Linked DNA regions of Notamacropus eugenii. The protein of the gene in region 2 purifies or fractionates together with the protein of the main gene of each other region. This does not show direct contact. Links are inferred from orthologs where the notes say so. Each region holds a gene or a part of one and is shown on either strand. Other genes may lie near its edges.

Region 1 (9,972 bases), on a different chromosome or scaffold from region 2:
TACAATTACCTCAGGCAGCAATCACCTAACAAGCCTTCACTAAGCACCTAGAATGTGCCAGACACTATACTAGGTGTTGAGGATACAAATATAAAAATGAAACAATCTCTGACCTCAAGAAGACTATATTCTATAGAGGAGCTGGGGAATTTGGGAAGAGAACATATAGTTCTAATACAAAGTAAACAAATATAAGGTAATTTTTTGGAAGCACAAATGCCTTTAATCTTTAGCACTTAACACAAAGCTGTGAAGCAATATAGTAACATTAACTAGGGAGTTAAAACTATTGCTACATTGTATTACTACAATGCGGAATAGTGGATTGAATGCTAGAAGAACTGAGCCCAAAATTCTGACTAAGACACCTATATTAGCTGTATGACCCTGAATAAGAGCTACCCCAATTGTGTTACCATAGGGCAGCCAGTTACTTAACCATTACCTCCATAAAATAGGAATAACAATAAGTGAGTCATAGCAGTTATTGCAGTAGCTTATATGATTAAATCAGATAATGCAGGTAAAGAGCTCTGCAAACCTTGCCCTTATGTGAATGCCAGCTAGTTTTCATTATATATTACCATGTGTTACTACATAATTATGTTGCTATATATTATACAATTATAGTACTCTATGTGGATTACAGCAGTCTAAGTAGTGTGTTGTGTGTATGTATAGTGGCACTGTAAATAAATATGATGTTATATATTATAGTATTCTAGGTAATATATTATTATACTACTACAGTACTATAAACATAATAGTCACTCTGCAAAAACATCTATTATTACATTACTCTCTAATAATATATTATAGTAGTCTAAACAGTATACTGTATTATTACACTACTCTGTAATATTATATATTATAGTATTATCAGGATAATGTTATAATATACCATACAGTACTCTTCATATACTATGCTATACTGGTATGACATTATGTATTATGTATTATATAATATTATCACAGTATTCTAAACAGATAGTATTCTAAGTAGTATATCATTAGGACATTATTCTGACTATAATGCTAAAATATGCTTCATAGTACTCTGTACCATATATATATATATATATATATACACATATATTTTTATAATACTCTGTGTATTCTCTATAGTACGCAGCATGGCGCACCTTTGTCAGAGAAGGCGATGTATTCTATGAGCACAGGAAAGATGTGCAGATCTAGAGAACCCACCCCAAATGTTCACATGGACTATGTGTGCCTAACCAAGTTCATACTGGTCTGAGGGGCCACAGTCAGACACACTGTAACTTGACTCTAGCATAGTGATGTCATTTTGGTTCTCTTTGAGAATGAAAGACAACCACCAACCAACCAACCAGTATTCTGTTATAATAGGTTATACTACACACCATTTAAGTAGAAGATATATTATTATGTTACTCTAATAATATACTATATTACATTACTCTAAGTAGTATATTATTAAAGTACTTTATGTTACATTGGGGCAACTAGGTAGTGCCATGAAGGCACTGCTGTGCCTGGAGTATGGAAAATTCATCTTTCTGAGTTCAAATCCAGTCTCAGACACTAGCTGTGGGACCTCAAGCAAGTTACTTAAACCTGTCTGCCTCGGTTTCTTCACCTGTAAAATAAGCTGGTGAAGAAAACAGCAAACTACTCCAGGATCTTTGCCAAGAAAACCCCAACTGGAGTCATGAAGAGTCAGACGCAACTGAACAAAAGCAAATTATATACTTTAAGTAGTACACGTTGTACTCTAAGTCTAATATGTTTTATAGTACTCTTAGTATGGAATATTACATAGCATTGAATAGCGTAACAATTTTATCACAGAACTCTTAAACATACTATGTTACATATTACAGTGCTTGAGTTTTTATATCATAATTACATATATATTATTACAGTAATTAAATACGTTGTAATATTATGGTGTCCTAAATAGTATTTTATATCATTGCAGTACTAAAAGCACATCACGCTATATAACAAGCTAACCCTAGTACGGTACCATTCCAGTACCCTCTGGTAGCATGCTACAATATTATTACAGCACTGACTATGATATCACATTATATAATATCACGTTGCCCCTTGAAGTAGTCTAATGCCGTATTATCTAACCGCTCTAAGCTGTAGGCCACATTAGGATCAGCGCAGCCCAAGCAGAGTACCGTTAGATAAGCAGGACAGCGTTATACAACACGCCGCGTGCCACAGCATGACTACAGCGCTCCGAGCGCAACGCCACGTTCCCTGACACCTCACTGCCCAGGTGCCCACACTCTATAAAACCGCGCGCCAGGGCAGCCCCGCCGGCCCGGCACTGCACGTGGCCCGGCAGCACCCTCCGGCACCGCTCGGGAGCCCAGCACGCCGTGCGCTCGCAGCAGCACCCTAGTGCGGCCCTGCGCCACGCGGGCCCTTCCCGAGCTTTCTGTGCTCCGAGCGCGGCCGCCTGGCAGCACGCACCCGGCTGCTGCAGCACGAGCCTCTGGCACCAGGCCTCGTTCCACACTTCTCCATCTGCTCGCGGCACCCAGCACCGCACCACATCGCACGGCCGTGCCCGGGCCCGGCGCGCTGGGCTCGGCAGCCGCAGCACGCCAGGGCCCGGCTCCGAGCGGTGCACCTAGCCGAGCCGCGCAGCACAGCACAGCACCTCTCCGAGCCCGGGTCCTCGTTACACAGCCCCCACGCCCCTGCCCCCGGCCCCCCGGGCCCCCCGACCGCGGCCAGCCCGGGGCAATGCCCTCAGCCCGCGGCCGGCCCCCCCCCGAGCCCCGGGCCCCCGCTCTGAGCCCTACTCGCTCGCCCGACACCGCTCCGAAAACACACAGCAGAAGGACGACTCCCGGCAGTCCACTATCGCATCTCAGCCTTCCAGAGCCGAGCCGCCTCCTCGCGGCCCCCCCGGGCCCCGGCCCCGCGCTGCCCACGACAGGGGGCCTCCCCGGAGGGAGCCGGAGGGGCTGGCCCAGGGCTGGGGTCCCCCGGGCCGCCCCCAGCCCCAGGGGGGCTTTCCCACCGCCGAGCCTCGTCCAGGCCACCAGGCAAGCATGGGGCTGCCAGCCTCGAGCGGAGCGGCTCCGACAGCAGCATCGCCGCGACTGAGGGTCCTCCCAGGGAGACCCCTCCCCACCGCGTCAAGGGGATCCTCCCACTCGTCCCTCCTTTGTCCCTCCAGCAGGGAGGGAGCGAGGCGATGGCCCTGCCCACGCCGCCTCCCCCCACGTCGATGCTCGGCCCTTCCTCCCTCCGGTGTCTGGCACCTGTCCGTCGCGTGGGTCGTGCCCCCCCCGCCCCCGCCCTCCCTTCCCCCCTCATCTGGAGCGCTCTCCTCTAGCGCCCCTCACCCCTGCAGGGCGGGGGGGATGGGCTTGGGGGAGGGGGGCAGGAGCCGATCTGGGCCTCGGGGCCCACCCCACCCCCCACCCCGGGCCAGCTGCCCCAACGGCGCCTCCCAGAGGGGGAGGGGCAGAGATCCAGGTGCCAGGGCGGCGGCCACACTCACCTCCCTGCCCTGCCCCCACCTCGCTGCATACCCAGCCGCAGAGAAGGCACTTCTTCCCACCCCCCCACCCCCACCCCAGCCCCCCACCTCCAACCCCAACCCCCTCCCCCAACCAATGGTTTCCTTTTCACCCAGGCTCTTGGGCCCTTGTTGGGCACGTCACAGTGACCCCACCCTAAGGGGGGGGGGACGCTCACCAGTCATGGCCCCCCCCATGGGCGGGGGGGGGTGCGTGGGGGAGGGGGCTCCTTGCCTTACGACCACCAGACTCCCCTCTGCAGCTACAATCCCCAACTGCCAGGCCCGAGAATGAGGCGCCTCAGGCTGAGACTCCCTCCTGCAAGCCCCGCCTCCTCTACTGTCTCCCCAGCTTAGGCTCCGCCCCCTTCTGCGCTTCCTCCCCTCCCTAGGGCCGCAGGTTTGAGCTGTTCCCACCCCTCCCCCTCGCCTTCCACCACCTAGGCTCCTTCCCATTGGTTCCCTCGGTTGCTAGGAGATAAATAACGGGGCCTACTTGACCTGATTGGGCCTCCCCATTGGCTCCACCCCCTTCCCCTTGCACTTGAAAAGTCTTATTCCCTACACTCCAGGCTTGGGATGGGAGCGCAGCTGCAGCGACGCACCTGTTAGAGCCTGCGAATCCCTGGGAGCGCTTGTCCAGGCTCTTCCTGCTCTCTGCTCCACTCACACTCCAAGTCCTTGCTCGGGATAAGCAAGAAAAGGCATTTCTTGGCTTTGTTTTCTAAAGAGGCGAAGCGAACACGCGCCAACAACTCTAGACGAGAAGGTTTTTTTCCTCTTCTGGAGCCCAACCATGAGCTTTGGCAAAGGGAGACCGACAGGATGACAATACTTGACTTCCAGAATTAGGTCAGGCTCCCAGGACGCCTGGATGCAGACTCCAGCCCCAAAGGAAGAAGTCAGCACTCCAAAAATAGACCAGAAAGGCTAGAGAAAGAAAGGAAGAGCGACTCCTGCCCAGAAAAAAATTGGACAAGATGAGAGACGTGCCTCTGAGAGTGGTAGAAGCAGAAGAGATGCCAAAGTTACGCCTGCACAGTGAAAAAGTGTCGACCCTACCCATTTCGGTGGCTTGGCATGCCAGAAATATGAAAAACAAGGATTCGATGCGCAAATCTTCTTTTCGATTAGCTTCTGTGTGCCCCTATATCTGCTCTGAAGGGTGAAAAAACAAGTCGAAACACTCCTAAAGCAGAGGACAGAGGAATTCGGCAGGACAGGGATGGGAGCTTTAAAATAAAATCCGAGATGCCTTGTAAAATGCAGAGGATGGTGAATTTTATTGAAGGAAAGGAAGAGGAGGCATGAAAATGCAGGCTTCACATTTTCGTAGGATTTTTGGCAGTTTGCTGTAACTAAAATAAGAAATCGGGACAAGGACAAAGGAGTTCGTCAGCTTGAAAAACTGTTTCGGGGCTTTTTTCCAAATCCGAGACTTCCCGTAAAGGTATAATAGAGTAAGAAGAAGAAAATGGAGCTGTGAAAAGTGCACATTCCATCCCCAAAAGATCTTCCAGTTGGCCCGACTTGCGACTTTGGGGAATGGACGATGTTGGGAGCGGGCAGTGGTAGCATCGAAATATGGCATCTAACCGGTGGCACGTGGGAATAGGGTTCTGAGTGGAAAATGGAGTAATTCTCTTACCTTCCAACCCCCTCCTTCTGATTTGGGGATGAAAAAGTGCAAAAAGAAAGGAAAAAGAAGAGAAACTTGGGAGGTGTACTCCAAAGAGTGATGCTGAAAAGAAAACTGTCCAAAGAACCACCAAAATAGCCATCCCGGATCAAGATCTCGATAAGCCTCATCTACCTGTCTGGATAAGTCACAAGTCCATAAGCACCTACTATGTGCCCAGCACTTAAGATACAAAGAAAGGCAAAACCATGACTACTCTCCTTTTAAAATAACCTCAAATACACTTAGTACTTTCTTTGGGCTATTTTCCTTTCTTAAATAGTAACACGTTAGGTGTTACTGTAGCCAAACATGGGCAAACATAAAAAGTCCAATAGGTGAATTTAACCATAGTTTCCCGTTGGTAATGATGAACCATTAAGGGTAGGGCAAGGAGATGTAAAGAAGCTAAGGTCAGCATATTTGGGGGGTTGCCTTCAGAACACATTGTTTGTGAAGTGATTCTTCTAGGCGACATTGGATAATGAGCTGGTCTTAAAACCAAGTCTTTGACCCATATTGTGTGACTCTGGGTAAGTAATTTAACCTCTCCACACTCAAGGCAACTCTCTTAGGACATAAATTGTCAAGAAAGTACCCATTGGTATTACTACGGGGTGCTTCCTCTTCTGGGAGTAGTTAAACGAATTTGAAATCACAGGTCTAGGCCTTTTCCCTATTGTTAAGTGATGGAGAAGCAGCCTCTGTCATTGGACAAATTTGTTAGGAAGTTTTTCCTATATTAAGACAAAATCTGTCTCTGCAATCTGCCTATTCCTCCACTTTGCCCCAGCTCCGGACCAAAGAGAACACTTCTAATCCATTTTGCACATAACCACTCTTCAAATCCTTGAAGACAGATTTCCTGTCACTCCAAATTCTCTTCTCCAGACTTAGTTCCTTCAACTGATCTTCCTTTGGCATAGTTTCTAACCTTCTTACCATAATAGACAATCTCCATCAAGCAACTGTCCATGTTCCACCAGAGCTTATCGAAATATTCCAACTGATCAAAACAGAAAGTAGCATGATCAGTCTCCCCCATATTCTTTACGCTCTGCTTCTCTAAATTCTACATAAGATTACATTACCTTTTTTTTTTTATCATCCATATCCTATCATTTGTTGACTCATATTGAGGTTACTGTACACCAATACAGAATTTTTTCACTCATACTATTGACTATTCATCCTTCCTCTGTAATGGTGGTTTTAGAAATGTGATATTTCTGCAGTTTATTTTTTAAACTTGCCCAAGTGAATGGTTTTTAAAAATATTTTTACTTCTATCTTCCTTATTTTACTTACTGAGCTTTTTCTTATTAGATCTTGCCCATCCTTCCAGCTTGTCAATATTAAATCTTGATGTGTCACCCACCCCTCTCCAGCTTAAACCTGCTTAGTGGACATAGGAAACTCTCTTATTCCATCAGATTGTTCATAGTATATCATTTACATTTCTCTTATCTATAAAGATATCATGATAATTTATCAACTGCCTGCTAAGGCTTAAGTATATCGTGTCTGTGGCATTTCCCTTATCCACTGAATCAATCAGAAAAACGAACTGAATTTAGTTTAGCACAAGTTAATCTTGATAAACCTGTGCCTACTCTTAGGGAACATGATTTTTCTTTCTAAATTGTTATAAATTCTCTCTTTATTAATATATTCTGGAATTTTCCAGAAATCAAAGTAAGGCTCACCAATCAATCACTTGATGAATTATCCTATTTCTTTTTTGGAAAACTGGGACCTTAATCCCTCTCCAATCCTGTACTACTTCTCTCATTTTCCACAATTTTCTAAAAAATTGGGGGGTGATTACAACTCAGTGGGCAATGACACCTGTTAGTTCTCCTAGTATTCAGAAATGTAGTTTATCTGCACTTAGAGTTGAGCTTATTCGAGGCAAGGAGGCACTTTCTTACCATTTCCTTAATTATCATGGATTTCAGTTCCTCATTAATCATTTTTCTTCTATCTGTGTCCAACTGAAGATTGTTCTTCCTAGTAAAAATAAAATAGAAAAAATGTGTTGAGTAGTTCTGTCTTATCTCCATCATCTGTTCTTTTTGTTTTCCTTAGCATACTTTGAAAGCTTTTGCTTGTTCTGAGCTTTAGTACACCTAGCACTATTCTTGTAGGACCATGCTACTGTTTTGCATTCATCCTCAGTAAACTTCTCTTGCTTTCATCTTCTTTCATCCCTTTTTTGGAGTTCAAGTTGGTCCAGAAGTTTTCTGTGCATCCACATCACTCTTTTAAGACTTTTCTCCCTTTTATTCTTCATCAGAATCACTAGCGTTTGTGTCATCAAATTTTTTCCTTAACAGCATCCCATCACTTTTGATCCAACTTCCCCTATAAAATTTGAAGGAATGGGATCCTATCTATACAATCTGTGAAATCTATTCTTCCCAAGTTCAGGGTTTGCCCTGCATTCCTTCCCTTACTTATCACAAACTCTAAGATATACTGATCACTTCTTTCCAAGGTTCCTATCACTTCAACTTTGGCAGCCAACTCCTCTTTATTGGGCAGAATCAGTTCACAAATAACTGGGTACTCTGATTTTAATGACTCATACCAGTTATCTAGACAGAAATAGCCATGGTGTAGAGGAAGGCAAGGCCATCAAAATACTGCCTTCTTACAGAGGCTAGCCTGAGCAACTAGCTAGCTGATCTGCGCTATCTCTCTCTCTCTCTCTCTCTCTCTCTCTCTCTCTCTCTCTCTCTCTCTCTCTCTCTCTCTCTCTTGTCTCTTTCTGTCCATTTTCAATGTCAACATATCTTATTTCCCTTACTAAATCATAAAGAACTTGTATAGGACTACCTACCTATGTCTTATTCAGATATATATTCTTCACAGTGGCTTGCACACAGTAACTCCTCAGTAAATTTTTATTGAATAAATAAATGAATTGATGAATGAAGCCATTGTCAATTATTTAGGATTCCCCAGCAATTATTTGTCACCACAGCTTCTGCTCCTGAGCATACACAAATATAAGTAATAATGAATATACTATAATTGTGTTCTACTCTAAATTACGTCATCTAATGATTCTATCAACAACCATTCCAGGATACAGTGTGAGGAACAGGTAAATGGAGGAGAGCTATTCCCATAGAAAGTTCTAGCTCTTTTTGCTCTGATTCAGTGCTTACCAAACAACCTTCTGATATATAATCACAGACTGGAATAGGCTGGGGATCTGGACTGAGTCATCACCATTTAAGAGTATCTGTGCATGATATTTTGCCTTCAGGTTTAGGCCACCTCTGCAGGAAAAACAGCTTGGCAAATAATCACGAAGAGAACTGAACGTGGGCTATTTCATTTGTCTGTTTAAACATGCTCAGCATCTTTAGTGGAAACCGTTCTGTGAGCCAGTAGAAGCAAAGAGAAAGTTTTTATTAAGCTAAAATGATAGTATGAGTGAACAAAGTGGTGAAATATGAAGCAAGAAAGAACCTGAAATGCCCCGAATATGATTTGAATTATAATACATAGGAGATCATATCTTAATACTATCTAAATTACATTTTTTCCTTTTCTCATTTACCACAGACATTAAACACACACACACACACACACACACACATTAATAGACCGAAGTTTCCAATGAGTAATAGTGTTCTAAGAAAATTTCTAATCTTTTCCTGTGTTTTCCTACTTAATACAGAAATACTTTGTTTTATGTTATAGATTCATTGTTTTTTAAAAAGTATGTATTGAATTTTTATAAATCAAATCATATAATAAAATTCTGAAGGCAAAAAACAAAATTATTCCGAAAACTAGAAAAAAAGTAAAGGTGAAATAAATTACCTGAGTTATTTGCGAATGAATACAGAAGGATAATGCTGACCTGCCCTAAAGTCCAGAAAGAATTCAGGTTAGCAATGATTGCACAAGACAGAAAAAGGGGTTGTTTTTAACATTTTTGTCTTTGTTTTTGCATTAGCTATGTTGGAATTAAGGAAACGCCCAAAGGAGGGATAGTCTTATTGCCCAGGGGATAGTACAAAATGGTTAGCATGAAGTAGAAACCCAAGATAATGAAGAGATGGTCAAAAAGTATTTATATTTTCTTAATGAGTTTAAGTCACCAGGTCCAGAGGACCTATATCCTAAAGAACTGGCTGAGCTACTATCAGTCATCTCTGAGAGGACTTAGGACTGGAAAAAGGCAAATAGAAATGAGGTTGGAGTCTGCCAACTACACATAAATGACCCCAACTTTTATTCTAGGTAAAATTCTAAAACATTATTAAGGGGATGGTCTGTGAAAATTTAGCAGTGAATACTAAAAAGGAAAATAATTGCCTCATAAACCAGTCATACTAACTTCATATATTTTTCTAACAGTAACTAGACTGGTAGATCAGAAGTATGCTCTAGACATTGTATACTTAGATTTGAGAAAAATACTTGACAACCTCTTTCTTGCTATGCTTGCCCATAACATGGAGGGATGTGGACTACATGAAAGTACAATTAGGTAGATTTGGAACTTATTGACTGGATCCAAGGCTAAGTTGTCTAATTTTTCTCCTAATTTGAACTACTTGCCTCAGTTCTCTCCCTGCTGCAATTCGACCTCCACATAGCTCCCAAAACATCATTTTCCTAAAGCACAGGTCTAATCATTTCACTCCCCTTCTCAATAATGTCCAGTGGCTTCCAGCTATCTTTAGGATTAAATATAAACTCATGTTTAGTCTTTCATGACCTGGCTTTAATCTACCTTTCC
Region 2 (10,379 bases):
CCCTTCGAGTAGTTGATAAGTGCTGGATTTCAAAGCAGATCTGAGTTCTAGTCTCATCTCTAACACTAGCCATGTGCCCATAACAAGTTACTTAACCTCTCCTTGCTTCAGGCAAATTATAAGTTATATTGGAATTGCAATATGTCTGGGATGGAGGGAGTTTCCATATCTGAAGTCTCCAAACCAATAAAATTACAAAGTCCTTTAAGTCAGAATGTGAAAATTTTTCATTCATGTTCTCAACAGAATCAAGTACATTAGAATCCCATTATTCAAGTTCTATGAAAACGGAAACTATTCACTCCATATTTATTGAACATCTATATGTGTGTCATATCAACTCACTTCTAATAGATTTAGATATTTTCCCTGAAAAAGTCAGTCTAAGACAACATACGCACTTGGCCTGTTTCCAGTTACACATTAGGAAGCAATTATAATGTATTTTTGTTATTTTTCATTCATCAAAGTAAAATGTATTTTCGTTCGTAGTACAAATAACATGACAAATAATAACAATGAGGAAATGAACGCAGGTGGATTTATGCTAATATTTGCTCATAGTAGAAAACTCCATTCTAGTTAATAATGGACATAAAAACATGCAGTTTTAACTTTAGGATAAATATACTTCAATTCCAACTATTTTTCATAAAATATTTCAGTTATCTAAATTTATACTACATAGCCTGAATTAAATGTCCAAAAACCTAGGAAACTATTAATGGTTTAGTTGAAAGACTGGAATTTATTTAAGAGCAGTTGCATTATTGACTTATTCTAAATAAATTCACAATTTTAAGAGCATTTGTAAAAAATAATGCCCACTAAAGATTTTTTTCCCCAAGACTCATCATACTTAAGGTCAGCAACAGTTTATAGTCGGAAAGGATCAAGGTTTATTATTTTGTTTATTTATACAATATTGTCTCTGTAGCCCAGGCGAAAAGCCAGCTAACTGCATATGGACTACTAATACATTCTGTGTATGAAACTGCAAGACACAGATTACTCAGAGTCTTTTCTAAAACATTTGTTATATAAGCCCAAGCTTCTAAAAAATATGAGAGTTCCACCAGCAGCAGCTAAATTTTAACTAATCATCTTTTGGAAAATTGCTGTTACTCATTCTTTCTTTATGATATGGGATCTTTTTATCAACACCTGAAAAAATATACATTATAAATTCAGCTTTCTTTAAGGTATCTCAAACTGGTAATATGCAAATGTTTCATTAAAGCACTAAGTTGGGGCAGATCCTTCAAGAGTATTAAAGGATTAGATTAATCTGAAGGAAAAGTCTTCCTTATTAGTTTTAACTAAACATCAAAAACAGTAATGACAAGAGTGCCAAAATTAGGCAAGCATCTGTTACTTCTCTTTACATACAGATGTCACAGATGACACCACATTGTGATCACTTGTTTATACCAACTGAATGGACACACCAACCTCGTCCCCCAAACACAAGCAAACATCAAACCCTTAAGGGATAGGTCCTAAGGTGCTGTTAGACTAACACCTGAATGCTTAATTTTCTGTAATTTTAGGTTAAAAAAAGACAAAAATATAAATTCTTTAAGTTACAGTTGCCACAATATAGGCTTCACAAAATGCGTATAGTGAGGCCAAAGCTGTTGAGTTAGTACCAATGGCAATCTTATTTATTAGAATGACAGACATCCGATAAATTTCTGGGTGGAATTTATGAGTTAAGACAGGAGATGTCTCAATATTGGGTTGGGTTTTTTTTTCTATTACTCCAAAGATATTATACAATTATAATGGCATATATCCAAAGCTAAATTTTGTATCCAGGACAGAGCTTTGTAACATAAGCATAAGATTTCCAATCTCTGGAACGAAAAGTTCAAATCCTAGTCATCTTAAAAAACTACTTTTCCTCACCAAGACAGAATGTAAGCTATTTAAATCATTTACTTCCAATGTTCTGGAGTATAGAAAGAAGGGATAAGGGAAAGTAAAGTTACCAAATGTGTATACTTAGCAAAAGTGAACAAAAAACTACTACTTCAAAGCACTTTTTAGTGGCAGAAGGACTCGATTCCACAGCTTTGGTCATAGGCACAGTAAATTTGATTTCCATGACAATGGCTGGTCAACATCATTCCACCATATGGATGAATAACTTTTTAAAAATTTTATTTAAATACCGCATATTAGAAAAAACATTGAGTCAAGAAGTGTTTCCTCCTGTCACAAGTTATATGAGGGTACTAGGCAATGACCCAATTCTGTTATCAGACCAAGTGACCTAAGGTCATTCTTGTTCTACTCAACTATTAGAGCCAACACTTTCTAATATATCTTATTGTAATTTTCTGCATTATTGTTTCACTCTTATTAGACTGACAGCACATTCCCAGCATCTAGTTCAGTGTTCTCTGTTCCCCCCAAAAAGGAATGGGCCTGAGGGATCACCTGACCCAAGATCACAGATTTAAAGTAAGCCCTTAGAAGTAATGTAATCCAACCCCCTCACTTTACACAGAAGGAAACTGAGGCCCAGGCAGGGGAAGTAACTTGTTCAAGGTCCCACAGACAGTAGTGGGCAGTGCCAGATCTGTAACCTGGGTCCTCTGATTCTGATCCAGCACTTTTCCTACTACACCAAGTTTACAAACCCCCTCAGTTTACAGAAGGGGAAATGAAGCCAAGAGAAGGCAGCTGGTTTACCCAATGTCACACATCAAGTCAGTGGCATTAAGAGTCAGCCTTCCTAGCTCATCTGAAATTGCCAACCACAGTTTGACCAGCAATGGTCTAAGTAACCACAGACAACTCACCAGGAATTTTCCATTGGGAGAGAACTTGCTGAGCTGATTTGAGAGCTTAAACACTTCAGAGAAATTCATAACTGACGCAAGTGCTGGAGCTGGCCAAGAAACTAAGGTGCTAAGAAGGGCCCGAGAGACTCTGGAAGGCAAAGGCAACAATGTTTCTTCAGGCTGTAGTTGATACAAAGCTGGCAACCCCTTAGAGGAACACGATGTGCTCCAGCACCCGAAGGCTGAGGGGGATAAGGATAAGGCTTGGACTCAAACACAGGACAGTGCCTCTGCTGCATTTAGGGGGGAGACAGAGATGACTGCGGGGACCGATGGGGTCATATTGGTAGGGCTTTGGGGGTTTATCACATTCTAGCTATGACGGGAGAAACACGGGGACATTCGGACAAAGCAATGAGGGGCTACGGTGGAGGAGGCTGAAGGAAGGGCAGAGAATGGTGCAGTGCCCTCCCTCCCCCCCCAAGAGACCCTAGGGAGAGAGAAAACCTCCTCTCTTTATTCAAAAGATCCCAAGAACATAGGAAGCATTTAACAGTCAATCAGTCAGCTAGCATTATGAAGCACCGACTATGTGCCAGGGTCTCAAAAGACCATCCCTGCCCTCAGGGCACTGACGGTCTAAAGGGGGTGATGGTCTGCACACAAGTAGATGCCAACAGGACGCAGACAGAGTAAGTTGGAGGTGATCTCCGAAGGCAGTAAGATGAAGGAGGGGTACAGCTACTGTCCTAAAGAGAGAACCCCAGGGCTGGGGGAGATGGGGGAAGGCAGATACGGTCAGCCACGGCGAGTGGAAGGGGAGGGAGACCCAACCACCCCAGCTAACGTGACCCGGGGAGAGCCTCGGCGGCCCTCGCCCCTAACCCAGCGCTTCACACGTAGCGGGGCTGCAAGGTACTGAGGGGATGCCGACAAAATGAGGAGGGCCCTGCAGCGAGAACAGAACCAGTCCGTGCGAGGGGGGAGGGGGCGCTGACCTTCTCACGCTGGGAGGGGGCAGGGCGGCGTCTCTTAGCCCGACCCACAGACACAGACAGAAGCACAGCCTCCGTCTCCCCTCCTTCCCCCGCCCTCCCCCCACCCTCTCTCCCCACCCCCTCCCCCATCGGTCTGTCCGCCCCGAGTCCCGGGAGGGCGGACGAGCGGCCACGGCCTGCGGGGAGCGGCCCAGGTCGGGCATCGGGGAGGACGGCAGCCCTCACCGGTCCCCGCGGCGCCGCCGCCGCCTCCTCGTCCTCCTCCTCCGCCGCTGTCTCCTGCTCCACCCTCGGGCCGCTGCTCCAGCAGCTGCAACAACTGACCGCCAGCGGGCAGCGGGCCGGAAGCAGGGGAAGGCGGGAAATCGCCGTCAGCCTATCAGGGGGGCAGTGTTCCGAATGGCATTGTGGGGGTTGTAGTTTTCTGCCGCCGCTCCCTTCCGCGCTTTGTCTAGTAAGGACGGAGGGAGGGGCGGGGCCAGGCTGGCCTGGTAGTCCCGGGAGGAGCGAGGGGGCGAGAGTGACGGGGAGAAGGGGAGAGAGACGAAGGTGTAAACCCCCAGGCTTTCGGTCTGGGACTCTCGTCCTTCGCGCTCTCACCCACGCCCCCGCCCCGCGCTGGGCGGAATGAATGAATGGGTAGATGGATGGATGAATGAATGAATGAATGGATGAGTGAATGAATGGATGAATGAGGAGCCCGAATTCTAACAGCAGGATCACAGATTTAGAGCCGGAGTGGATCCTAGAGGCCGGGGCACCGACTTCTGCCCCCACCCCTATTTTACAGGTGGAGAAACTGAGGCCCGGAGGCCTACATTCTGATGCATGGATCACAGATTTAGATACGGAAGGGAACTTAGAGCCCACGAGAAAAATCCCTGCTCAGGATCACCGTGGTCAGATACAATCTTTTTAGAGATAACGGGTAGAAGAACCATAGGAAAGTAGATTGACTCACTTTTCCCATCAGTACATTCAATTACCGTTACGGGACTGGCAAGGTTGGGGGCGGGGGCGGGGACATGAGATGAGAAAAGGGTACCAGGAACCCACGCCTGAATGAAGCAACCCCGAGTCTGTTCATCCCGGCTCAGGGCAGGAGTTACCAGCAGGAAAGTTAAGTCCTGTGTCATGGTATGAGTCGGTGTGGCTGTGCCCCCCTCTAAGGGGAAACAGCCACAATTCTCTCCAGAGCTCAAAAAGACCTCAGTCCAACTCCTCCCTTTACATAAACCTGAAGCAGTTAGTCGATCAGCTGACATTTATTAAGTTCCTACTGTGTGCCAGGCACTGTGCTAAATATTCACACAATCAGTTACAGAATCTTGAAAGTGAGTCTCTCTTTCCCTTCTCCCTTGTATCCTATTCCCAGAGCCTAGCACACTGGCTAACCTATAGGCAACTTTTAGCAAATATTTGTTGATCGGTTGATAGATTAATTCAGTGAATGCATTCAATTGCTACTCCCACTCATGGGATTTAGAGCTGAAACCCATTAATCAATCAATAAATATTCATGGAATAAAACTATGCAGCAGGCTGTATGCTAGACAACTGGAAAGTTGGTTAAAAATGATAAAAATTCTCTGCCCTCAAATGCCCAGCATTCTTTTAGAAAAACAACATATATGCACATGGATAAATACAAAGTAATTTCAGAATACGGAGGGTAAATATCTCTGGAAGTTATTTATTCTAATTGTCCCTCCAAAGCTCATTCCAAATGAAGCCTTTCCTAGTCTTCCTTGCAGTTGGTGTTTCCTCTCTGAAACTGATCCCTTTATATTTTCTAAATACTTCTAGACTCTTGTCTATATCCTCCCAGAAATTCTTCACTTGTGGGTCCCTCTAATGTTGTTTGGGCATTACTCTAGAGCTCCTGACATTCTGTGGGTATCATTGTAGCATCTCTGGTCCTTGTCACATATGCAGCCCAGTATTCTTCTGGGCCTTCCATCTCCCAGAAGCTTTTTTTTTTTTTCTGTCATGTCCTGGGGAGAAATCATCAGTTCTAATTTACTGAAGCCTACTTAAGAGTCTTCATGCATCCCTCTTGGAGAGATAGCAACAGATACTTGTAATATTCTGTGAATGAATAACATTGAAATGAGTAATAATGGATACAGTCTGAGAAAGGGGAGTCCAACCCCAGTTATTCCCTTGGATCTGGAATAAAGAACACCTGAGTTCAAATCTGATTTCAGATACTTCCCAGCTGTGTGACCCTGAGCAAGTCACTTCACCTCTTCCTGCCTGAGTTTCCTCAACTGTAAAATGGCAATGATTATAACACTTACCTACCAAGGTTGTGAGGACCAAATAAGATAATATTTGTAAAGCATTTTGAAAACTTTAAAGGGCTATATAAATGTTAGCCATTATTGACATCTTTATTTCTTATATAATCTTGAGCAAGTCTTTCCCAAGTCCAGTGCAATCCCACATGCATTTATAATTAAGCACCTGCTATATGATTTTGGTGCCTTAATGTCCTCAAATGTCAAATAAAATGGTTCAACTTGATGGGCCTCTGAGATTGCTTCAAAATTCTGTGATCTTATGACTGCATGGAGATCTGGGATGCAGAACAGAAGATATCCCTTGTCATGGGATGAGTTCTTCTTATCTGGCAAATTTCTTCCTCTCCCCCCCCAATTTTATTTACTTAGAATGAAAGCATCTCTTGGATCTCTACTGATGTGATAGAAGATGTGGATTTGAGAGCATCTTCAGGATAGACTTAAGTTGTCCTTGCTTAGTACCCCTATTCCTGACACCTGCTTTATGTATGAGACAGTAATCTCAAACTCTCCAAGGGGTGAAGAAGGGGAAACTGGAAAGGGTCTGGTGTCCTAAGGCCTCCATTCTAAGTTGCGCATTGCTCCATTCAGATCTTATTGGACTTCTCTGGGTTTTTTGACAAGTCCTGGGGGGCCAAATCCATGGGGCTTAGTTAAACCAGAGCACTCTAGACAAGACAGAGATCTTAACAGACCTTGGCTCCCCCCCCCCCCCAACAGAATGAAGTTTCTGTATTCTTTTAAATGTTCAAATCAAGACAACAAGCACTTATTAAGTTTTCCTATGTGCCAAGAATTGTGCTAAGAATGGGGGATATAAAGAAGATCAAGAATAGTTCTGTTGCCTTCAAGGCAATCAAAAAGAGGGCAATGTTGCTTTTTGGATCCTACCTGATTAAGCAGTCTAGTTCAACCTACCTTAGTAAATAAATGCCTCCTGTGTGTATTGAACCTAGTGAGGTTTCCACAGGATCATAGATTTAGAGCTGGAAGGGACCTCTAAGGCCATCTAGATCAACCCCTTCATTTTACAGAGGTGAAACTGAGGCCTAGAATTGCCTGAGGTCACACACAGCTGATCCAAGGTGGGATTTAAATGCATGTCCCAAATCCATAACTCACTGTTGTCGTTGTTGAGTTGTGTTCCACTCTGAGTGACCCCATTTGGGGTTTTTTTGGAAGAGATACTGAAGTGGTTTGCCAATTCCTTCTCCAGTTCATCTTACAGATGAGGAAACTGAGGTCAATAGAGTTAAGTGACTTGTCCCAGGTCATATAGCTACTAAGAATTTGAGACCTGATTTGAACTCATGAAGATGAGATCCCAATTGCAAGCCCAGGGTTCTATCTAGTGGGCCACCAAATATCTCACAAACATTTATGAAGTACCTAAAATGCATACAGTGCTCCTGATTGGGGTCTACTCTTTATTTCTCCAACAGATGTTCAACCAACACTTAGCTGTGCACAGAGAGAGCACTGTGCTGGGATATGGTATGTCCATCTCCTCATTGAGTTTACCGTCCAGCTTCCTAAGATATGCATGAATGACTTCAACATTCTACCAGTGTACCAATATTACAAGGTTGATTAGGACCCTTTATCATGGGACTAGATCTTCCCAGGAAGTTCAAAACACGCTGAGGAGGATCCTGACTGAATTTCTAACCAAAATTGTTTAGAATGACAACCCAGGTCTTCTGACTAGAAAGCCAGTGCTCATTTGGTCAAAGCATACTTTCTTTTTGGAATAAGCACCCTAAGCCTCCAGCGAGTATGTGCCCCACAAAGGACACTTTTTAATTCAAATTATTATAAGCTCATTCAATCCCACAAAAGTCTTTTTTTTTTTTTGTACTTGCGACAAGGGGTCAGAAGTATTTCATTTGGGCTCATGCTCACCTGCTCCCCTGAAAGTCCTTCAATTCCTTTCCCTGGCATGAAGATGACTTTGTTTTCTAGGATGTTATGCCAAAGTTTAGTAAACTAGAAAAAACAGACCTGTGAATCTACTGTCCCAGAACTCAGTCCAATACAGAAGCCTCATCACTAATTTGGTCATAGGGTTTTAGATTTTTTAGCCACAGAAATTTTCACAGACCATCTACTAAGACATGGAGGGGTTTCAATCTTCACTGGAGGAAGACTCACTTTCTTCATCTGTAAAATAAGGCAGGGCAGGTGGGACTAAATAGTTTCTGAGGACCCTTTCAACTTTAAAACTATGATCCTAGAACCCAGATGCTTGAAGGGAAAAGCTGTTAATATCGATTTAGAACTGAAAGGAATCTTTCTGACCATCTAGTCCAGGATTCTTAACTTTTTTTTTTGTATCGTGTATCCCCCTTAGCCTTCTGGTAAAGCCTCTGAACTCTTGTCTCATAATGTTTAAATGTATGAAATAAATACATAGGAAATCAATTATATTGAAATACAATTTTCAAAATATTTTTTAAAATACACAAGTGCACAGACTCCGAGTTAAGGACCAATCCAATCCCATCACTTTACAAATGAGGAAAATGAGACCAGAGAGGGTAAAGTACTTAGTCCAGGTCACACAGTGACAGTTGGGATTCGAACCCAAATCTTCTGACCCCAAATCTACAGCACGGTAGGCGGATAGCGGTCCAGTGGGCAGTCAACCTGACACGGTTAGAATTCTAACCTTAAGAAGACTGGTAGATTTCCAAAGCCGAGAGCCACACCAGGCTATCGTTACCATGTCCAGAAGAAAATCAGAGGAAAAGGCACCAGCGCAAGATCGCAAGATTCTTTAGCTTTAGGACAGGAACTAGGACCCAGGCAGGAGTTATTTGTAACTGTAAGGACTATATTTTTCTCTTTCCTGTAAGTCCTGTGGGTACTTTTCTGCTTTTTCTTTTACCTTAATAGACCGGTGAAAGTGGTTCCAAACCCTCATTCGGGCTTGCTGAGGGTGAGGATTGAGGGAAGAGGGAATGTACTGAAAAACATGGGAAGCTCTGGGTTCGAGGAAAGCCCCAGGTCGCCTTATTATAGGAACGCCCGGGTGCTTTTTCTGAACCAGGAAGGGGCCGCTTTCTTTCTCCACCCCAGCCTGGTGCCCAAAGCAGGTGTGACTCACACCAGCGAAGGTTGGTTGGTGCGCTCTGCAGCGCGATTCCTGGCCCAAGCAATTTGGATAGTGAGAGACCAGAGACAGGGAACGACCACTCCTACAAGATAGGTGAGTAACCCAGGTTATTTGGATGTGTATTATAGTTGTCCGTTTTTCCTTTCAGGATCCTTGTAGACTAAGGCTATTTCCTCTTTTGTCTTAGGAACCCCTGAGCCCAGTGAAGCCTCTGTCATACAAAAGGTGCTCAATAAATGCTTCTTCTTCCCACAGAGGAGATGCTTCATTTAATTGGTTGCGTATTATAATTATAATGGGCTGAATTTGGAGTTAAATCTGGCTTAACAGGCCAGTTTCATTACTTCTCGATCTGTTTCCTCATCTGTAAAATGAAGAGGTTCCCTTTCTGAATCTGTGCGATCTTATGAGTCTTTTGTGTGTATGGTATAGAGGGAAAGAGACTGAAAAGGATCCTGGAGTCAGAGAAGAGGATCTGCATGTAAAGTCTTTTACAACCTGACTCCAACCTATGTTAAGAGGCTTACTGTATAATATGACCCTTCATGCACTTCAGGGGTTTAGTGAAACCCACCTTCTTACTGATTTTTTACGCCTGATTTTTGTCTTCTTGCTTTTGCACAGCCCCCCTTGGAATGCATTCCCCCCCTCCACTTCTACCTTTGATATTCTCTACTTTTCTTCAAGTTTCAACCTAAGTACTGCTTTCCACACAAGGCATCCCCTAGTTTCTGCTCTCCCTTCCCCATCCACTTGCAATCAACCCGCCAAATCACCTTTTTGGCTTACATTTTGCATATACTTAGAGTTGTGTACAGTATCTCCCCACATTGAATGGAAACTCCTTGAAGGCAGTTTTATTTATGTGTCTTTAGCACATACTAGTACTGAATAGAATGCTAGTTGATGAAATTCTCTTCCATCTCCCTTCTTCTCTTTCCCTCCTTCTCTCTCTTTCCCCTCCCTCCCTTTCTCTTTTTTCCCTCCTTCCCTCCCTTTCTTTCCCTCTCCCTCTTCCCTATCCTTCCCCCTCTCTTCCCTCTTCTCTCTCTGTCTTTCTCCCCCCCCCCTCACCTTTCCTGAGTGCATGCATGCATGTAAGTGTGTGCTACCCATCTGAATGATCAAAGGGTATTGAGTGGGATAGGTTTAGTGAAGACTTCTCAGATTGTAA
Region 3 (10,159 bases), on a different chromosome or scaffold from region 2:
CTAGAATCACTGTGTCCATATAACCACACTGTGTAATTCTCCAATTAAAGCAAGCAAATGATAAAATAATACTTGAAATACAAGATCGAGTCTAAACACAGTTGGAATTATAGGTAAAATACTAGAAATGTTACCCAAATGACCCAAAATTGTATTCATATAGCCCAGGCATAAACTTCGTACAAAACATGTTTTCTTTTTTTTTTCAACTTGCATTTGAAAGGCTGCTGCATAAACCTGGACTGGTAAATAAAACTCAAAAATCTCATTTCATTATGTTAAACTTATTGTTTAGTAACAGGTGGGCCCTTCCCACCCATGTGGGCTCCCGTGGCAGCATGATCCAATAGCTCAACATAGGGGAAAAACCTCAAGCCCTCAAGTGAACAATCCATTATGTAGTAGTCAAAGCTACTACATAACTTCATTATATCCTGGTCGACTGAACTGCTTTTGTTGGCCCAATCTGAGAGTGTCATTTCCCATCTCTGATGATCAGAATACCCCCAACATATAGGCTCAGCATTTCCTTAGGACTTTGATTGACACGTTGGTGCATTTGTCTCCCCCTGCTGTCACCTTGATTTTGGATTATCTGGTGAATTGGAGGAAACCAACCAATGGCCATTAAGCCCTGATACCAGGTAGCCTGGGATTTTTAAACTTTGTAGATAAAGGATACAACAATTAACCAAGGAAATATGTGTAAGTGAGTTACTACAAATCACAAAGTGGAGGGAAAAAAACAAAACAAACAAACAAAAAACAAGGGATTTGAATCCCCTGCTTTAAAAAAAAAAATGTCTTTTCCAGGATATTTTAGCAGACTGCCTATTTCCTACTTACTTTATCTCCACTTATTTCGGAACAAATTGTTAACACCAGCTTCTGAAACAATTAGTTTCCACAGACCTTGGTGATAACATTTTTCCTATCCTACCTAACACATTTGACTAAACTGCTTAAGTTCATCCTAATTACAGGAATGAATGAATAGTTCAGCCTCCTTAGAATTGCCCCTTTTGGTACTGGACTCCCAGCCCCACTCTCAAACCCAACTTCCACACCAGACATAAACATTTTCACTATTTCCCACAAGTTTTCTCACCTTACTCTTGTGACGGTCTTCTTCTATTATAAAATTAGTTGATCCTAGGCTTGTATGATAGTAACTTCTCAGTTCAATTCAACCAGTCTTCACTAAGAGATGATCAAGGTCGTTACACTAGACGTAAGATATACAAAGACAGAATTTAAAATAGTGTTTGCCCTGAGGAAGCTTATATTCTATTGAGGAAAATATAACATTTAAACAGGTAAATGAATACAATATAATTTGAGGGGGGAGGTTTTTTTAATTATAAGTTCTCAGTTTTCTTTCCCTTTGCCTCTTCAATCTGATACAAAAAATTAATTTATTTGGATAAAGCAAGAAGTTCTATAGCCATTTCTGAGTAGAAGGTTAAAAGGAAACATCCTTAAAGACCTCTTACAGTCTAACTTTCTCTTTTCTTCCTGTTCTAAAATGACCACTTTTTCAAAGCTAAATTCCACTTTGGCAGTGTCTAAATTGTCCGTGATTTATGACTCAAGAGATTCTATTGCTAGGCCTATCACCCAAAGAGGTTGCTGACAAAAAGAAAAGCTCTACATAAGCCAAAGTATTTATAGCAACACTTTTTTTGGGTAATAACAAAGAAGAACGAGAAACAAAATGTATACTTGTCCACTGGAGAAAGGCTAAATAAATCCTATGATGTAAATATATTGGAATATTATAACACTGTTAAGAAATAATAAATACAGAGAAGAATGGAAAGACATGAACTGATGCAAAATCAAATAAGTTGAACTGGGAAAATAACATATACAATAACAACACTATAAGTGGAAGAACTACAAAATCAGTGAAACTAAGTACTGCAAAAATTACAGACAGGAAGGTCGGCCCCAGAGGAAAAAAACCAGAGAGGTGGAAGAGGGAGTTATTGATAGGAAACTATGAATATTGTGTTACAAAGACGAAAATAATAAAAAGAAAAATAATAATTTAAGAAAGTTAGTACTATATATGAGGTTTAACGGATGAAAAAGAAATATATCCTGGTTCCACAACTTTTTATCAGACTCACTCATTTATTCAATAATACTGATGATGATATTGATAACATTAATTACAACTCATTTCTGTAGCGTTTCAAATGACCCAACTAGGTGGTGAAGTAGATAGAGCACTGGGCTTGGGACCAGAAAGATACCATCTTCATGAGTTCAAATCTGGCCTCTGACACTTATTAGCTGTGTGATCCTGGGCAAGTCATTTAACTGTTTGCCTCAGTTTCTTGATCTATAAAATAAGATGAAGAAGGAAATAGGAAACTCCAGTATCTCTGCCAAGAAAACCCCAAATGGGGTCACACAGAGTAGGACCTGACTGAAAAAACACTGAACGATATAATACTTTAAAGTACAGGAAGGTGGTAGTTACTGATGCAGTTTTTATAAGGTGCTAAATTCCAGTTAAAACAAAAATGAATAATACATTGCAGTTGGCCTTAGGGTATTTACAATCTGATAACCACACCCCTAGTAAATGGCTTGAACGCTGTTTTTGTTAATCTGTGATTTCCTTGTTTACCAAGTATGCATCCTATTAACAAATAAATTGATTGTTAACTCTGTAACAAAAACCTTCTCGTGTTTATTCAACATAAGCCACTATTCTGGTATTCAGTCCACTAGTTTGGTTTTTAAAGCTGATTTAGCTAAACTTCTTTCTCTTTTCCCTTTCCCTCAGCTAGGGCCCTATTCTGTGCAGGTCTTTTTGTGTGTTTACTAGTCAACTAGTTTTATCAGGCTCTTTGTTAAGCACCAAGAAAAAAAAAAAAGTTGTTTGGTTTTTTGAAGAGGACCAGTGAGCACCGGGTGATGTTTTGGTTCATATGTGAACTGGATTTAAGTGAGGCCAAATTGGACAAAGCTGTCAGCTTTACTGTCTTCCAGTCACTGAAATCCAGTGGCAAGACACAAGTCAAGATGACTGGCAATGGCCAGGGATATAGTATCTGATCTTGGTGTATTCAGGACCTGCAGCACTCTTCAAGGCCCTTGGAAGAAATTATTCACTTCCACCCATTCCTTAGGGTAAGTCTTTGCATGCTTGTGGGAGATATCCCCCTATCTCACCCACAGGTTTGAGGCCCGTTGGTTAACCCACCTGCCTAGACAGTATACCCCATGCTTCAGTTCATGAATGCACAGGTGAGAGTTGAGTGCTAAGCAGGAACCAAAGGTGGAAAAGAAGCCCTGAAAAGGGTTCAACAAGTCCTCACACAAGAAGTGCTAGTCCTCTTTGCACACCCCATACAGAAGAGTCCGACAGGACTGAACAACAACATGGCTCTCCTCTGTATACAAAGGAAAAAGTACTGCCACAATCCACAGAGAGCTTACGTTCTAAAGGAGGGAGAGAACACATCCTGAAATCTGTATGTGTGAAATAAATACAGAGTAGATGGAAGGTAGATGGAAGATTGAAGAGGGTGGAAGTTAAGAGGGAGAGTATTCTAGGGGGGCCCTGTGTGAGGATCAGCTAGAAAGCCCACGTCTTGACCATTTGAATAGAAGAGATCAATGTGTTAAGCAGGACTACGCCTTCAGATACCAGAGTGAAGGCAGTAATAATGGCTGGGTGGGGAAGTGTGAGGAAGTGGGTGAGGGAGGGGGTGAAGGGAGGAGTGTCAAAAGGATATGAGATAAAGAGGAGTGAAGACGGAGCTCTTCTCTGAGGTTTTGTCAATGAAATATGAGTCTCAGTCCTCAACTGAGAGGGTGGGAGGCTTGAAAAGAAAAGGGATGTGGGACCGTGGTGAGAGGGATAGATAAGCAATTAAGGTGGGGTTTGTGGGATTGTCTAACTGCCATGAGAGCCTAGCTGAAATCAGTTTAGTCTAAATCTGTAGTGGACCAACTCAACCTAGCTTCATCATTTCCTCCGGTAAATGAAAAATTCTTTTCCCCAAACCCATTCATAGACTAAAACAAAAATCTTATATAAAATTAAGGAAAACATAATATAACTTAAAAACTTAACATAAACATAAAAACATAAAAAATAACATAAAAAATTGCAAACGATGACTCATGGAACCATAACTGTTATATGCCAACTGATAAAAGGGAAAACCATGTCCACTGACCTTCACAAGCCAGCACCAATGCTGATATCGTATTTATTGTTTTTTCTGCCCGTGTAGAATGTTGTTTTCTTTAATAGAGCTGAAATCTGTGTGTATATTGTTACTTAGTTCTGCTTTTTTTCACTCAGAACTGCTTTTTATCTCCCAATATTTCTTTGTATTCTTCATATTTGTCACACCTTATGGTTATTCCATGAGTTCAGACAACACAATTTATTTAGCTATCCTCAATATCTAAAAAAAAATTAAATATTCCAATCAGTTAGATGAAAAGGTAAGGTTACAGTTTTCCTGAGCATGGATGGAGGGAGAAAAGAATTTCAATTAACCAGTGTTATCAATGAAATAAGAAAAGATAAAATAGAAAACCCTATGTAAATAATAATAAAAAATTTTCACACAAATAAAAGTGATACATATAGACCAGGGAGAAACCATATAAAAAATCTTTGCATTAAACTGCTTTGATAAAAAGCTGACATCCAGATCTACAGGGAACTAACACATATCAAAGCTATTCTCTCCTGAAAGGCCACAGTGCCTGGAGAGCAGGTCTCTAAACCATGCAGACCAAGGGACCTCTGACCCTAGGAAAATCACTCTATTTCTCATTGCTCCAGGCAAGTCTCTAAAACAACTTCCTCAATTGCAAAGCAATTTAGGTAGTAGATGTTTTTCTGGTAGTAGGTGTTTTTCTCCACCAGTAAAATCACAGGTTTCAATCGAACGCCAATCTACCCACCACCCCAGAAAGAACTTCTCTCAAACTCAAGTCTTTCTGACTCCAGATCTGACATTCAAGGTCCACTCTGTCACTTAATTATAATCATTCTCATATTACTTTAAGGTTTGCAAAGCACTTTACCAATAGTATCTCAATAGATCCTCTAAACAACCTTGGTGCTGTTATTACCCTCATTTTACAGATGAGGAAACTGAGACAAACAGAGATTAAATGACTTGACCAGGGTCATGCAGCAAGTAAATACTGGAGAGTGCACTTGAAATCAGGTCTTTTATATTAGCATGGGCTGACTTTGGATAGGCAAATGCTAAGAAACTGTAAAGTCATTGAAGTTATGATCCACCTGTGTTGGATCAGTTCAACAGTCTGTAGGACTTCTTTCAGATGGGCACTGGCATCCGAACATGGAGCTTCACAGATGATCTTAACTGCAAAGTCACTGAAGTTATGATCCACCTTTGTTAGATCAGTTCAACAGTCTGTAGGACTTCTTTCAGATGGGCATGGCATCCGAACATGGAGCTTCACAGATGATCTTGGGAACAGTTTAAAGCATGAGAGGTTTTGTTTTTTGCACATTTCTTAGAACAATCCTTCCTGCTGGTCGTGTAATTATTGGAGGGTCTGTGAATCCTCATCCCCTGCTAACTAATCGTCCTTTCCCACTTGTAGGTCCATGCAGATGGCAGGAGGCATCTGGGGACACTCCAGGCAGTGAACTGGAGCCATGAGGACAGATGCCAAGCAAACCCCCAAGCCCATCATCTCCAAGAAGCCCTCTCTGGATTCCTCTAGATCACCATGCATTAAGCGGCCGAGAGCCTCTGGACGCTGGCCACTCCACGGGGTAAAGGGGATCTGCGGGGAACCTGGTCTTCTAAGAAGGCACCCTTGGGGGAAGCTGAAGGGAAGACGCTTACTGTGTAAGCTCCGCGGAAAAAGCAATTTGCAGCCCCCTCCCCTCTTGCACCACTTCAAACCGATTCGGCCAGCACGTATTAAGCGCCTACTGTATCCCAGGCACTCATGAAGACCTAGGAAAGGGTAGACTCGGACTCAAACACCCCCAGGGTTCGGTCCCCGCGGGAAGGAGGACGCTAAGGCCTCCGCCTGCTGCTAAGCGGGCTACGAGCCCCTCCCTCACCTTCCCCCCCTCCCGTAGGCCCGCCGCAGCCCCCCCCCCCACGTTCCCCGCCACTCGAGGCCCCGCCCCCCGCATCTTTCTGGCCTCCGCAGGGTGCCGGGGAGGGGGTGGGGGGAGGGGTAGGGCGGGAAGCTCCCTCTCCCTCTCCGCCTCCCCCCCACCCCCCCGCCGCCGACTCCTCGTTTCCAAGCGCGTTTCGGTTCCTGGCCGGGAGAAGGCTTTGGCCCCGGAGAGCCGCCGTAGCCCGCACCTTCCGGCGCTCGGAGCCGCGGCGGCCGCAGCTCGCGGCCCCCTCCCCCGCGGGCAGTGGGACTTCCGTGTTGGCGGGATTCTGAACGCGGCCATGGCTCAGAACGTTCAGAACGTTACATTGTCTCTCACGCTGCCCATCACTTGCCACATTTGCTTGGGGAAGGTAAAGGAACGGAGGCTGTGCGGCCGCGGAGGTGCCGCGGGGGGGATCCCTGCCGGCGCCGGCCGAGCTTCTCGCGTAGGGCGCCGGAGTTGGGGGGAAGTGGGCGGCCGAGCCCGTGCCTGGCAGCGGAGGATTTTCCGTAAGGGGGTGTTCGGGGAGACGAACGGGGGTGTGTGTATATGTGTGTGTGGGGGGAGAGAGAATTGGGGGGCTCCGGGCTGACGGACGCTGATGGAGGGACAGAGCCGGCGGCGCGGCCCGGCTCGCGCGGGCGCCAGCGTGGGGGGAGCCCCCAAGAGCGCCGGGGGGGGGGCGCTGCCGGAGGTGCCGGCCCCCGCGTGGGATTGGAGCTCAGGCGCTGAAAATGCTAATGAGCGTGGTCCGCGCCTCCCCCGCCCCACCCCCACCCGGCCTCTCCGACTCCGGAGCTGGGGGCGCCGCTTCTTAACTTGGGCTTTTTATTTTCCTAAGCTAAGGGTGGCTTTGGGTTCCAACCGTCGGTGTGCCCCAATTAAGATGAACCCCCAAGTGGTGTCCATAACGACGAGCCCTCTGAAAGATGTGAGGCGGCTCTCTGTACCCTGGACTTGGAGGGGAAGGGCGCAGTAAGTGCGCTTGGGAAAGCGCTTGGGATCAGGAAGTTGCCTTTTTTTTCATTAATCAGTAAGTTTTCGTGTTTTTCTTTAATCAATAAGTTTTCATTTTTTTCTTTATTTTTTCATATTTCTTTTGCTCTCCATGTTCCCTCTTAAAAAGTTTAAAGACCCTTTAAGCCTAATGTATATTGAGAGCTTGCTGTGTGCAGGCAGCAGTCCATGCCAGTGATTGGCGGGTCTCTTTCCCCCCACTCCCCAAAACCAAGTGCAGACTTTATGAAACTACAGTTTAAAACCACAAGCCGCGCCAGCTCAGTGTCAAATTTTTAAAATGCCATTTAAGTCATATTTAATCGAGTACTTCCTGTATGCCAAGCACCAGTCTTTCACCCCACTCCTCGCCCCCCAGATGCAGATTTTGTGTGTTAGACCATGCAAGCTCACTGTCAAATTCTTAATGGCCATGTAAGTCATATGTGTAAAGTACTGCTTTATGTCAGTGATTTGCACATCTGTCTTTTCTCCTCCCACTCCCATATCCAGAGGTTTTGAAACTACAGTTTAAACCACAGGCCATGCCAGCTCAGTGTCAAATTTTTAAATGCCAAGAGTGCTTATTGTATGTAAGGTGCCAGTTCAAGGCAGTGATTTGTAGGTCTTTTATATATCATTTCACCCACTACCTCCTTCACCCCAAATACAGACTTAGTGAAGCTTCAGTGGACACCTCAAAGTTAGGCCATGCAAGCTCACTGTCAACTCAGCTTTGGATGCTGCCCTCCTCCTCTAGATCAGTGTTTTGGAGAAAATCCTTTTTTTATCAGGGTTTAGGAAGTCACCTTCTCCTGAAAGGCTTGGGAAGTTCCCACTTCTGGTGTTGACGATTATCATTCATTATTAATTAGGCTAATTCAAGTCTTTAACTCTTTCATCCAGGGAGCTGTAATACAGGCATGTTCATAGAGAACTTTGTGCTTTCACAAAAGCGCGTCTGTCATTCCATTTGGTTCTCACAGCATCCTTTGAAGTAGGGTGGGGAATGAGGAAACTTTGACCCAAAGAAGTTATATACCTTTCTCAAAGTCACTCAGCTAGTGAGTGATAGAGATAAAACTACCACTGACTTGGTATGGGTACCTTGGAATGGGTATTTGAGAAGCACACCTAAGGTCTTTGACGCTAATGAGGAAAGCCACTTTTGCTTGGTAAGGTAGTAAAAGTATTCATGATGCAATTTCCTTATAACTGAAATTCAGGGTTAGCTGAAACAGCATGGGAAATACTGTTTCCTTAATTTTGCATCATGTTATATCATTTTTACTCATCAGGCTATTTTGCAGATATGCAGAAAAACCTTGTTATGGACCAGTTAAGGAGGGAGCACCTGTGTGGGAGCCAGTGTGCTAATGATGACTGACTGCTGGAGCCCAGACATTGGCTTTTGCATCTTAGTGAACTCAGAATCCCAGTTACTCTGCTGAGAACCTGTATGCAGTAATGATTTTACATTAGATTCCACTTTCACAACAACAATAAAGCCGACCCTCGTTTATAAGCATTTTCCTGTTTGTTTTTCCTGAAGATAGCCAGTCAGTCAATAAGCATTTATTGAGGGCCTACTATATGCCAGATACTGTTAAGTGCTGGGGATACAAAAAAGGGGGCAAAAAACAGTCCCTGCCCTCAAGGAGTTCACAGTCTAGTGGGGGAAACAAAACACTATATGTAGAAACATGCTACATGCAAGATAAATTGGAAATAGTTAACAGAAGGAAAGCACTAGAAAAAGAGGGTCTGAAAAAGGCTTTTTTGTAGAAGACAGGATTTTAATTGGAAAGAAGCCAGAGAAAAGTTGGCTAGTCAGATGATAAGGTAGTTGGGTTTTCAAGGCAGCATATTTTGAAACCTAAAAGCAGTCCTCCTTCATTCATTGCTCATCTAGACCCTAGTTAATATGTGGGGCTGGAGATACTTTAACTGAGGGCTAGCATTTCTGAGTTGCTTCAGGATGAATTTGCTGGGTGCATTAGAACAGTCAGTTCATCTATCCAGGGTCCTCCTAGCATAGAATCTTGGAGATAGAAGGTACCACAAAGGTAATCCAGTCTCATAATAATATTGCACATTTACATAAGCACTTTAAGCTTTATTGAATATTTTACATTATTTTATTTGATTCTTTAAAAGGCCTGATGAGGTAGGTGCTTCTATTTCCATTTTGTATGTGAGGAAACTGAGACCAAGAGAGGATAAGTTACTTGCCTGAGGTGACACAGGTCATAAGTAGGAGAGGTGGGACCTGAATCTGAATCTTGATTTCAGACCCAGCACTCTTTGAAATCAGTATATTATGCTTTAAGTAACTGGGATAGAACCCACTCCACCCTTTCTTAATCCTGTGATTCCTGCCCCTTCCCTCCAAGATTCTCCTAATCCAGTGGGTATTGGAGTATCTATCACGGATGTGCAGCCATGGAGCAACTCTGGCCTCTACTAATTAGTAAACATTGATTAAGTGATAGGCACTGTGTTAAGCTCTGGAGATATAAAAATAAGCAAAAGACAGCCCCTGCCATCAGGGAGCTCTTGCTCCAAGTTATCTCGGCCTCAAAGAACTGTATTCCTCCCACCCCCTTTTGATCTATGTTGAAGTAATCAGGTAGATTGAGGGCCATCTGGAGAGGTATCTATGTATCTCCATGTCAGCAAACTATCTCCACCAGTGACACCCCAACTCTTGAAACATCCACTGCTAGCATATCCTTGGACTATACTTTAAAAGCTTAGATACTGTCTCTAGGTCTCTTATTTTTTTTTAGAAGGCAAACATTATTATCTTAAAGGATAGAGCTCTAGCATTGGTTCTAGGCTTCTTTTGTTACCATAGAACCACTTGCCACTTGGACAGTGCTGATGTTGAAAACTTGCTCCTAAAGAGATATCACATAGGTAAATTTCAGTGAAGGAGAAAGAGAAGCCAGAAGAAGTTTGTATTGATCCAGCATGTCTTTTGGTTCAAATCGAGAGTTTTGTTTGGAAGGCCTACAAATGCAGTTTGTT

What was found.
Region 1: the proteins of WRAP73 (region 2) and SSX2IP purify together in Homo sapiens (co-immunoprecipitation; 4 studies listed by BioGRID and IntAct, counting the BioPlex papers as one, with this or other methods). This does not show direct contact. The link is inferred for Notamacropus eugenii from reciprocal best matches to the Homo sapiens genes WRAP73 and SSX2IP.
Region 3: the proteins of WRAP73 (region 2) and OBI1 purify together in Homo sapiens (affinity purification with mass spectrometry; 3 studies listed by BioGRID and IntAct, counting the BioPlex papers as one, with this or other methods). This does not show direct contact. The link is inferred for Notamacropus eugenii from reciprocal best matches to the Homo sapiens genes WRAP73 and OBI1.

The regions. Positions count from the first base shown.
Region 1 is NC_092873.1:493,724,772-493,734,743, forward strand, and holds the start of SSX2IP (afadin- and alpha-actinin-binding protein), read right to left. Parts: upstream 4,642-9,972; 5' UTR 3,712-4,641; intron 3,568-3,711; exon of another isoform or gene 3,515-3,567; intron 771-3,514; exon of another isoform or gene 1-770. UniProt on the Homo sapiens protein: Belongs to an adhesion system, which plays a role in the organization of homotypic, interneuronal and heterotypic cell-cell adherens junctions (AJs).
Region 2 is NC_092876.1:39,903,153-39,913,531, forward strand, and holds the start of WRAP73 (WD repeat-containing protein WRAP73), read right to left. Parts: upstream 4,136-10,379; 5' UTR 4,013-4,135; intron 2,938-4,012; 5' UTR 2,877-2,937; coding exon 2,808-2,876; intron 1-2,807.
Region 3 is NC_092877.1:258,128,043-258,138,201, forward strand, and holds the start of OBI1 (ORC ubiquitin ligase 1), read left to right. Parts: upstream 1-6,233; 5' UTR 6,234-6,431; coding exon 6,432-6,503; exon of another isoform or gene 6,504-6,642; intron 6,643-10,159. UniProt on the Homo sapiens protein: E3 ubiquitin ligase essential for DNA replication origin activation during S phase.